Coturnix japonica: one gene and its partners. The protein of the gene in region 1 interacts with the protein of each later gene in a pairwise test. Links are inferred from orthologs where the notes say so. Each region holds a gene or a part of one and is shown in the gene's direction. Other genes may lie near its edges.

The links.
Region 2: the proteins of UBE2K (region 1) and RNF185 interact in binary tests that used the Homo sapiens proteins (3 or more experiments, as listed by UniProt). The link is inferred for Coturnix japonica from reciprocal best matches to the Homo sapiens genes UBE2K and RNF185.
Region 3: the proteins of UBE2K (region 1) and RNF114 interact in binary tests that used the Homo sapiens proteins (3 or more experiments, as listed by UniProt). The link is inferred for Coturnix japonica from reciprocal best matches to the Homo sapiens genes UBE2K and RNF114.

Annotation. Positions count from the first base shown.
Region 1 is NC_029519.1:62,495,617-62,499,363, reverse strand, and holds the start of UBE2K (ubiquitin-conjugating enzyme E2 K), read left to right. Parts: upstream 1-1,380; 5' UTR 1,381-1,387; coding exon 1,388-1,540; intron 1,541-3,747. UniProt on the Homo sapiens protein: Accepts ubiquitin from the E1 complex and catalyzes its covalent attachment to other proteins. In vitro, in the presence or in the absence of BRCA1-BARD1 E3 ubiquitin-protein ligase complex, catalyzes the synthesis of 'Lys-48'-linked polyubiquitin chains.
Region 2 is NC_029530.1:8,057,197-8,060,943, reverse strand, and holds the start of RNF185 (E3 ubiquitin-protein ligase RNF185), read left to right. Parts: upstream 1-1,211; 5' UTR 1,212-1,986; intron 1,987-2,318; exon of another isoform or gene 2,319-2,612; intron 2,613-3,747. UniProt on the Homo sapiens protein: E3 ubiquitin-protein ligase that regulates selective mitochondrial autophagy by mediating 'Lys-63'-linked polyubiquitination of BNIP1.
Region 3 is NC_029535.1:12,350,779-12,354,518, reverse strand, and holds the start of RNF114 (E3 ubiquitin-protein ligase RNF114), read left to right. Parts: upstream 1-809; 5' UTR 810-927; coding exon 928-1,058; intron 1,059-1,216; coding exon 1,217-1,367; intron 1,368-1,961; coding exon 1,962-2,068; intron 2,069-2,717; coding exon 2,718-2,832; intron 2,833-3,354; coding exon 3,355-3,462; intron 3,463-3,686; coding exon 3,687-3,740. UniProt on the Homo sapiens protein: E3 ubiquitin-protein ligase that promotes the ubiquitination of various substrates. In turn, participates in the regulation of many biological processes including cell cycle, apoptosis, osteoclastogenesis as well as innate or adaptive immunity.

The DNA of each region.
Region 1 (3,747 bases):
CTTCATTTGGTGCTTTGAGCTTCACCTTAGCATGGAGAGCAGCCCCTGTTTCTCTGCAGGTGCAGAGTAGGAGAGCAGGTGCCTGGGGAGGAGTTGGGCACATTTGGGAAGAACACAAGAGGGAGTTTGCTCTCATCTTCAAGTTCTCATCTTGGTACTGAAATAGGTGGGAGAACCAGAAACATTTAAAAGGGAGAAGCTGGATGGTATTTGACTTCTGTGCTTGGAAGCACCAAATTTCACTTTAAATATTGGTGAAGAGGTAATTCTGTGAAGTGTGCTATTCTTCCTGTAGATAAAGTTTAATACTGATATGCCTAAGTATCCTTAGTGCTTTCTGTTTCTGTGACATTGAATAGTATTTCTGGGAAATCACTACAACAGCCTTCAGCCTTGCCTTGCTTTCTGGTTTGCAGGTAGGAGCTGAGGGATTTGTGATGTAGGAGGGGAGGGGCTGACAAGGCTTTTAAAATCTTCTCACACTTCAATATTTTTTGCTTCTTTTTTTTTTTGGTAGCATTTCTGTCTTTTTTAATTGTTTTAATAAGGCCTTGCACGTTGATTTAAGGAATGGGGCGTTGTAGAGATCTTTGCAGCTTTGCACCTTTTGAGTTTATAAATGAGGTACGTGAGACTGACAACAGTTTCCCCATTGAGAGACAGAGGAATTGTCTTCAGAGTAGGAGGAGAGTTGAAATGTTCAGGTTGCTGATGTCCTGCGTATTCAACAAAAGTGAAGCTGCTCATGTAGGTAATAACCTGACTAGTGTAATATAGGTTGGAGGGTACCGTCTTGTTCCTCTATGAAAACTTAAAGTAGTAAACAGTGATTAACTCATGCACTGTTTTGAATCATAGTCTAGGCAAGTTGCACTCTTTCTTTCTTCTGTCATTTCATTAATTTATCTTGTTAGTTTCATGGGTTAGGCTAAATTAAATTCCAAAGTAGCAAAACATGTTCTGAATGAAAGTGTGAAGCTGCAGCTTGATGGAGAAACTAACAATTGGTGGAGGGGGAATAACAGCCCAGTATCTTTCGCTTTGATGGCTGGGAAGAGGCTTTGGTGAAGGTTAGCTGATATTATTCCAGAACAGGGTTATTGGAGTGCTAGCCAGATTCTTACCATCTCTGTCTGTAAGCAGCTGTCTTATGAGGGGAAGGATCTGGTATTTAACAACGAGCGCTGAAAAACATTGTGTTCATTCATGGGCTGGTGCTGACAAGTGGTTTAGTTCATCAGGCACGTCAATGTGTAAATCTTTTTTCTTATTTTACTATAGTATCACATGTGCTTTAAGGAATGGTATTGTGCTGGCAGTGGAGTTGACCATCCAATATCTTCATCATGCAGGAATGTAAGGAGATTTCTGGCCGTCTCTCTGTGAAATGCTGTTAGGAGTGAAATTGCTTCTCTGTGGCATTGAGGATAACACTTCGGTAAACATGGCTTCCTTCTGGCAAGAAAAAAGTTGGTGGTTTTTCTACCACAGAATGTTCCTCTTCCCTGTATCAAAAGGCAGAGGTTTATCTGCATGGAAGGTAAACACAGATAGAGCTACAAATAAATTAAACTCGACTGTAGTTGCAGAATAGGAGTATCTGCAAGAGCAGATATGTGCAGTAGCAGTTAAAATTTGTAACGTGAGTCCCAAACAGTTTTCAAGTGGAAACAGTATGTTGATGGCAAAAATTGAGTTGCATCATTTCCAAGAAGGAAGTCGATATTTGTTCTGGAGTCTGCTATGTGATTTTGTGTTGTAAAAGAGAAGGGAAGAGTAACAATCGCGTGCCATACTGTGTTCCTCCCTAGACTTGCAGTGAGTAGCTGTGCTGTTTGTTTGCTGCTGGTGGTGTTGGGATGCTTGGCAGTTTGTAAGCTGCTAAGTGACATCTTGGTAACTGGAGAGCGGTGAACTGAGGTTCAGAAGAACTTTACTGTATTTGATTTGCTTATCACAGAATCACACAGAATCACAGAATGACCCGGGTTGGAAGGGACCTCAAGGATCATGTAGTTCCAAACCCCCCTGCCTGGCAGGGCCACCAAACATACACCTTTACTAGATCAGGTTGCCCAGGGCCCCGTCCAACCTGGTCTTGAACACCTCCAAGGACGGGGCATCCACAACCTCCCTGGGCAGCCTGTCCAGGGCCTAACCACTCTCCTAATGAAGAACTTCCCCCTAACATCCAACCTAAATCTTCCCTCTTTTAACTTTAAAACCATTACCCCTAGTCCTGCTATATCAGCCCTTTCGAAGAGTTTACTCCCCTCCTGGGAGTAAGTTCCCTTCAGGTACTGAAAGGCTGCAATGAGGTCACCCCGCAACCTTCTCTTCTCCAGGCTGAACAAACCCAACTCCCTCAGCCTGTCCTCATAGGGGAGGTGCTCCAGCCCCCTGATCATCTTCATCTTATACTTGAGCAGTCTTGGGTACTAGAAACTGAATTCACTAAAATGGAAGCTTTTACTAGTAATTGTGCTTCGGTGTCATTAGAAAGGCCTGATGGATACTGTGGATGTGTGGTGGTTTTTTTCTTACCATTTATTATGTAGGAGCAATGCAGATGTATAAAGATGAAATGTCTTCTATTATGACTCCTGAGTCAGCAACGTAATATTTAAACAATGCCAACTTTCTGCTCAGGCAGATATTTAAGTCTTGATTCATGAGAATTGGTCTATTGAGGTCAAGTGTAGGTTTAGTAAGTGCGGAGTGTGAGTGGAGCTAGAGTGGGCCTAGTTAATTAAAAAGAAGCGTAAAAATGAGAACTTCTACAATGAAGTTGTCGTGTTGGTACAAATCTTTGGTGTGCCTCTCAGAAACCTTGCATATGGCCTCAGACTTGGGGGGGAGGGAGGCAGCAGTGTGTCAAGTACAGGCTGCTTTGCAGAGGGCTGTGTGGAGACTGGAGAAATTAATGAACTGACAGGAGCTTTGTGAAGTTAACTGTTAAGTGCCAAGTCCTGAATCTGAGAAGTAACACTGTACATCAATACGTGTATGCTCTGGGGACTGACTGGAGACAAAGCAAGTTGGCAGAAAAAGACCTGTGGCAAAGAGGGCCAACTGCACACTGGGTTGTTTTTAGCATGAATGCAGAGAGGGGTGAGGAAGTGGTTCTTCACTTTCCCATGCACTTCTGAGACCATATCTGGAGTGCTGTGCCCTGTTCTGGGAAATCCATTAATACACCAAAGTGAGTCCAGTAGAATGCCATAAGGGAGATTAAGGGACGGGACTATGTGATGTGAGAGAGGGGCAGAAAGGTGGCCACTTAAACCCACCACAGGTACTTGACTCCAGAGGAGAATCAAACATTTCGGTGGCGCACAGGGGTAGGATGAGAAACAACAGGTAAAAGCTGGAACATGATAAATTATGACTGGAACCTGGGGAAAAAAAATGGCGTTACAGTTGTCTCATTGAACTGATTGAATGGAGAGACTGTGGATTCCCCATCCTTGATGATATTCAGAAACTCAGTGAGACAAGTTCTTGAGCAGCCTACTTTTGTTGGACCTGCTTTGAGCTGGAGGTAGGACTAGATGCCCACCAAATGTCTCTTCCTGCATCGTTTTTTTTGTCTCTAGTATAAGGTTCTTTTAAATTAGTGCTGTGGTTGTGTTTTCTTTTTTGTGAAAGAAAATGCCAGGGTCCCCACAACACCCTTCTCTCCAAATTGAAAGTGTATGGATTTGATGGGTTGACTGCTCAATGGATGAGGAACTGGTTGCAAGTTTG
Region 2 (3,747 bases), on another chromosome or scaffold:
GCAAAGAACTCAACAGTTCAGTTCCTAACAATGAGTTAAACATTATTCAGCCATCTTCCTGGCAGCAATGGGATGATTTTCTCATTGAAACAGTCTGCAGAAGCAAAGAGATGATGGCAGGACATCCCCGCTCTGGTAGGAGCTTCTTGAATGCACTGCCACAATTCATGCAAATCTGTCCCAGAAGAAACATGTCGCTGAGCTGCACAGCTGGCAGCTTCTGAGACCAAGCCTGCAGAAATGCTGCAAGCTTACGTAGCTCAGCATCCCCCTTGGTACAAAGCACCTAATTCAGACATTGCTTTCCCACCCAATAAAGGATCAGGTTTTCAGTCACACTGGAATTATTTGCCCTTCTGCATACAACCCTCTATTTTTCAAGTAATCAGTTTTGTTGTATGTAACTATTAACGTTTTTCATGGCAGGGGCACGGGAGAATTAGGGCACAATGAGGCATTTCTGCTAACTTGAACTCGTGAAACTGCCAGCAGACATTTGTTTTCAATTACTTTTGCTTTACTGCTAGAGGGATGACAAATACACTTCCGAAATAACTGTATTCATTTATTAGAACTAAGCATCACTTCAGATCGCAATCACACCGATTCCAACGGCACAATAAGGCCTTGAGCAGCACAGCTCATGTGTTCCCTCAGCAGAACACGATCGATACCTGAGGCTGTGCCGAGCTGCCTGCGGCGGATCCTTCGGAACGGCACCTGCAAGGGAAGGGGCACGTCAGGAAGACGCGGCCATGCAGCGGCCATGCAGCAGCCGTGCAGCGCACAGAGCGGTCGCCGTCACCCCGCTCCCGCTCACCGCCCGCCCGCAGTTTCCCGCAGTCCCACGCCGCCTCCCGGTACCGCTCCGCCGCCCCGTCGCTGCTCTCCGAGTCCGAGCTGCTGTCCACACCACGGCCGGCCCTGGGCGCCGACATGTTGAAGCCACGCGCGTCGCGGGGCACGCCGGGCGCTGTAGTTCTCCCGCCGTGCCGCGGGGCATGCCGGGCGATGTAGTCCCGTACCACCGAGCCCCACGAGATGGCCGCGGCGGAACCGGAGCGATCGGAACGGGAGGAGAACGGCGGGAAGGGCGGGGAATGAACGGGAGGAGCGAGGAGACGGCACGGGGAACCGCCTCCACCCGCTGGTCCGAGGGCTGCGCTGGTGCAATACACCGAGTGCCCGGCAGTTGTGGCAGTGCTGCCGGGTCACCGTGTCCATACCGGCGGTACCGATGGATGAGCAGCTCAGCCCCGCACGGTTTTACACTGACACTAACTCCCAGCTGGCACGTCCGAACGTGCCGTGAGATCCGCGTGCTCCCAGCCCGTCTATGGCAGCGGACACGGCTCACACAGCGCCCTGCTCTAACAGAGGCTCCTCTCGCACTCATCACTGCGCTCCTCTCAGGGCGCTGGGCTCCAGGCTGGGGTTGTCCCGCTCCAAGTCTGTCCCAGCTCTGACAGCCCCGGGCCCGTCCTCTCCTCGTAGCTGTACACACAAATCCCTCCTCGAGGCTGTTCGCTCTGTCCCCGGAGCTGTTCCTGCTCACAGCACCGCACTCCGTTGCCTTTGTGTAACGTTCCCCGCTGTCACTTTCTCCCCCGCTCTCCCGGACACTCGCTGTCGCGGATGACGCGCAGTCCGCGCTCGTTCCAGTGGGAGGCATCGGGCCGCAGCCCCCGCAGCGCCTCGCGACGGACGGGCTGCGCTGAAAGCAGAGCGGGACGGCAGACGCGGCGCCCAGGCAGCGCTGCCCCGGCTCATCCGGCTGATCCGGCCGCTGTCCCGCGGTGCGGCAGGCAGCGCTCACTCACTCACAGCGCGGTGGCACAGACCGCTCGGTGCGGGCGGAACGCGGCCCCGCAGCGCGGAGCGGAGCGGCGGGGAGAGGCCGGTCCCTTCCGCCGGGCCGCGCTTCCGGGGCGATCAGGTGACGGCGGCCGCGAGCAGGGAGCGGCTCCGCGGATCCCGAGAGCGACGGTGAGCGCGGCCGGGGGGAACGGATCGGGTCCGGGTCCGGGTCCGGGTCCGGCTGAGGGGGTGGGGGACGGGGGGAGCCGAATCCGTGATTCGGTGGTGCCGGAACGAAAGGATCGGGCCGGGCCGTCACCGGGGCGACCCGGAAGGCCGAAGCCGTTTGCGGCCGTTCTGACCGAGCGGGACGGGGGAAGCCTCGGCAGCTTCGGGCCCCGGGCCGGTGTCGGCAGCGCGGGGTGGGCCCGGCCCGGGTTGCGCTCCGCCGGGCCCGCGGTGCCGCCCTCCCGCCTGACCTCCGGCCCCGCCGCCCTGCCGGGCCTGCAGCCGCCTGCCGGCACTCGGCGGCGGAGCTGGAGGCGCCCCGACCCTCCCGCACCGTCCGGAGCGCTCCGGGCAGCGCTGGGTGCGGGCAGGGCCGCCGAGCAGCCGCTGTGCGCCGGCTCCTGTTCGCTGCTGCTCCGCACTCGCCGAACCGCGGCCCTATGCCTGTTTCTCCCGTCGCGTTGCCAACAGCTTACAGAACTGTAATGTTTTACATAACAGCAGGCCAGGAGAACGCTCAGCTCCTGTTACCCAATTGGTTCTATCGCTGTGCTTTCTTTTTTTAATTTTCCCCTTTAGACTTAGAGGTAAGAAAATCATTGTTTCAACATTACTACATTTTCTCAGAATCTATATCACATTTCTATGGAACAAATGATAAAAGACAATTCCGTAGCCGCATTTCTGCTGGTTGTCAGACCATGGCACATTGGGCACATTGGGCACATTGGGCACATTGGTGAGGTGCACTGGTGAGGTGTGTTGGCTCTTTCCAGCTGCCCACAGAGCTGTTCATGAGGGCTGCACCCAGCAGTGCCTGTAACGCAGCCCTGTGTTGCGGAATCCCAATTAACAAAATGAGGCCAAGCGAGGGCACGCTGCTCTGCTGGTAAATGGATGCTTTGAGCAGAGAGATGAGCACACAGCTTTGGATCCTGGGGCTTTATGGTGAGACTAAAAAGCAGCTGCGTGGTGCTGCCTGGGTTATGGTAAGTGAAAAGATGGACTTAGAGGAAATGTTCCAAAAGGGTTAAAATATGTAAGTGGGACAGAGTAAAAATGTAACAAGATATAAAGTGCCTTTAATGATTAACAGTCACGTATCTGCTCACATCTACCTTAAAACAACTGTCGAGAAGTACACGTACCTTTTTCTGGACGCTGCCAACAATTATCAGCTCTGATCATCTGCGGCTTTTACTTGAAGTCCAGACAGCTGGAATAGGTTAAGAACAGACTTCTGTTAAACCTGCGTGTGACAAGTATTTATATAAACTGTCAGTATTTTTCATAGGGTTTCTGATGCTGATTTTCCTTTTCTACAACAGAGGTATCCAAAAAAATGACGTTATCATTTCGGTCATAGGAAAAACTGACACGTTTTCCTTTCCATTGAAACAGCAGGAAGCTGAGAAACTAAATCGGCTTGTTTCAGAAATGAATGAGGGCTGGATTGTTTCAGAAGTCCCAGAGAAAATAGGATTAATTAGCAAAGAAGGATGGAAAAGTGTCCTTCTGGTGGAATTCCAGTCTAACAATGCACTGTTTCATTGTTATGTGTTAGATGCTGGGAAAAGAAACAAGTTTCAAGTTTTATCAGTAAACCAACCAGTCACTGGATTTTTTTTCCCCTCACTGCTCAAGAAATAAGATTAAAAATGAAATACTTAAAGCACTTTAATATTGTTGTGCTCTCAATATATGTGCTGTAGCTGTTTCACT
Region 3 (3,740 bases), on another chromosome or scaffold:
GGGGCACTGCCCAGCGCCACCACCACGGGGCACTGCCCAGCACCACCACGGGGCACTGCCCAGCACCACCACCACGGGGCACTGCCCAGCACCACCACCACGGGGCACTGCCCAGCACCGCCACCACGGGGCACTGCCCAGCACCGCCACCACGGGGCACTGCCCAGCACCGCCACCACGGGGCACTGCCCAGCACCATCACTGCCCACCCGCCGGACACGCGCTGCCCTCAGCACACCGGAGCGCTCAGCTCCTTCTCCCGGCTGCCAGCCCCCCCAGCCGGACATCGCGGCAGCTGCACAAAGCGGAGCCGCCCGCAGCCCCAGGCCGCTCCGTCAGCAGCTCAGCGCTGTGCACCCCCCGCCCCGCACCCCCCGGCCCGGCGCTATGGTTGTGCAGCTCCTCGTCCTACCGCTGCCGGTCCCGGCCCCGCACCTTCCCACACGCTCCGCTCCGCCGTCGCTCAGCCGGAAGCAACCGGTGACCCGGATGCGGAGAGACGCCCCCCCCGCCAGCAGCCTGCACCGCCGGAACGACACACGGCGCCAGGGGATTTACCGGCGGAGGCGCGAGCAGCTCCGGCCGCACGACAGGACAGGGCAGGGCAGGGCAGGGCAGGGCAGGGCAGGGCAGGGCCCGCACGGCTCCTCGCACGGCTCACGCTCGCACGGGCTGACGGTGCGAGCAGCACCGGGCAGCTGACAGCGGCGCCCCGGAAGTAGATAGCCTCCTATCTGGAGTAGTACTTCCGGTGCGTGACGTCAGAAGGGCCGAGGGCGGGGTGTCACGTGGCCGCTCCCCGTAGCTCCGGTCACACCCCCGGCCCGGCCGCGTCCCGGTGCCGCTCCGCCCCGTGGGGTCCGGCCCGGCGTGCGGTGGGTGCAGCTGCGGCTGCGTTGGAGCCGCTTCCTGGTTGGCGGCGGGAAGATGGCGATGGCGAGCGGCGGGGACGGCGGGATGCGCAACCCCGAGCCCTGGGCGGACCTGATGGCGCGGCTCACCTGCCCCGTGTGCCTCGAGGTGTTCGACAGCCCCGTCAGGGCGCCCTGCGGACACGTGTGAGCGGGACGGGACGGGACGGGACGGGATGGAGGCCGCGAGGGGCACTCTGGGCGCACGGGGAACGCGGGGAGCGCCGGGCGGTGCCCGCTGTGCTCACGGTGCTCACAGTGTCCGCTGTGCCCGCTGTGCTCACGGTGCCCTTGTCCCGGCGCAGGTTCTGCACGCCGTGCCTGCAGCAGTGCCTGAAGCCGAAGAAGCCGCTGTGCGGTGTGTGCCGCGGCGCGCTGAGCGCGGGCAGCAGGGCGCTGGACCTGGAGCAGCTCATAGAGAGCACCGAGACCAGCTGCAGCGGCTGCGGCAAGAAGGTGGGAGCCCAGCGAGGAGCCGGGAGGGCCGGGCTGGGTGCGGTGTGGGACGCGCTGTCCGCGCTCCGCAGGGATGTGGGTCCTCCTCCGTTTCCTATGGATGCTGCAGAGCTTCCCGACCCGCTCGGTTCGGTGCCCGCTGCTGAGGTGTCACGTCGATTCCTCTATTCCTGCATAGTGCTGCTTTCATTGTTGCGCTGATAGAAAGATGTAGTTCCTCGATCGCCACTTGTTAAGTCCCGCAAATGAAAGTTCAAATTAACAATAAGGAAATCTGAATTTAAACCTATGCCACAGTAAGTGTAGAAAGCTGAATTATTTCCTGTGTCATCTCTTCTCAGTAACAAAATAAGCTGACTTCCTATAAGAATATTTCCTGATTCTGGAGTATAAGATAAGGAAAGTATGTGGAACGGTGTTGTATTTCTCAAATGTTACAGGCAGCAGTTATACATTAACTGATTTATAATCTCAGAGCTTTCCAGCTCACCAGATGAAATGTGCGTTTCTTCCTGTTTTAGCACTACCTGCACAAAGCTTTGTGTGTGTCCTGCTGCAAACAGTTTAAGTGCTGTGTGATTGTTGTCTATGCAGATGTTCCTCTCAAAGATGCGCAGCCATGCAGCCTCCTGTGCAAAGTACCAGAATTACATAATGGAAGGTGTGAAGGCTGTAACTAAAGAACCACTTCACAATGCCAGGTAAGTAGCTCTTCTCTGGAAGTACTCATCTTTAGGATCACAAAAAGAGAAAGTGAAAGCAGACTTTCCCTCTTTCCTTAGTTTGTGTTTATTAGCATTTGATGCTGTTAAAAATAAGCCATAATCCTGCAACTGACTGCACATAATCAAACTATTCTCCTCCGTGCAGTCTTTGCACAAGACAGGACTGGAGTACTTGATAAAAGTAGCTCCCTATTTAATAATAGCTGTCTTTCTGTCTCTTGATTGTAGTAACTTATAATGAAGGGAATGTGGAGCTGACTGCATTGCTCTTATTTGCATTTGAGCGTTCTGGGTGATAGGTACACTGTGCGCTTAGAACATGAAAAATATAAGATGATAAATGGCATTTATAACGTTTTTTGAAGAAATACCTTTGTGTAAAAGTTTACGATGTGAAGATTTCTGTAAGATGTTGTTAAGAATTTAAAAGATGATTCTTTAAATTTGCCTGTCATGATTGCATGGAATAAGATCATTGTTTTGAATAATTTTTATTCTTAGTCGCTATTAAGATAACTTCCAAGTAGCAAATTCAAAGTCTTTTAAGCTATTCTAATTTTTGTGTGTGTGTGCTTTTAGCTTTACTAATATGACAACGTATTTCATCTTTTTCCCCCTCAACCAGGAACTTCCCAAATCGCTTTACCTTTCCTTGTCCGTACTGCAGTGAGAAAAACTTTGATCAAGAAGGACTAGTTGAACACTGCAAAACATTGCACAGCATGGATGCAAGACAAGTGGTAATAAAAAGTCTCAGTGCAAGAATTGCAATGAAGTCTAGTCTTAAATCCCCTTGAAACAATGAATTAGACACTTAGTGCTTAAAGTTAATTACAAATTTATACTTGCTTCTGTTAATGTACAATTACATCCACTTCACATTCACCTCATATTTGGAAAATGGTAGGCATTCAAAGTACATTAGGTAGTCCAGGAAACTTCTTTGTTTTTGATTAATGAAGTTTGAGATCTTCTGAAGTAGACAACAGTGACTGATTCTCATCTCCTCATCTCCAATATGTAGAGAGAAGAATAAACCATTCTCATTCAGAGGCGTAAGAAATCAATTTAAATAAAAGCCTCTGTTAAACCTGAATGTTGAGTGGCCCAGCAAAGTATTTGATGTCACTTTGCTTAGAGAATAGTAATCGTTACGAATCTCAGGCTTTAGTGTTCCACACTCCCTCTCTTCTGCCCTTCATAGTATAAATGTTGAACACACTTAACTGTTGGGGCCTAACTGACTTAATTTTTTCTTCAAGGTTTGCCCAATTTGTGCCTCAATGCCATGGGGAGATCCAAATTACAGGAGTGCTAACTTCATGGAGCACCTTCAGAGGCGACACCGGTTTTCATATGATACTTTTGTGGTATGTATTTTCTCACCCTTGGAGTACATGAGCTTGATGGCTCTTAAAACACAGCTTTTTACACAGTCACTGCTATGTAATCTAATTTATGAAGAGGGTATCATGAGAGAAATTGGATTATTGGTAAGTTAGAAAATGAGGCAGCTGTTTTCTGTTTTTATTTTGTGTTACATTAATCACCATGGCTGTTGCAGTAAAAGAATTTCTGTACTTTTTGTTCATAGGATTATGATGCTGATGAAGATGATATGATGGCACAGGTTTTGATGCGTTCTTTG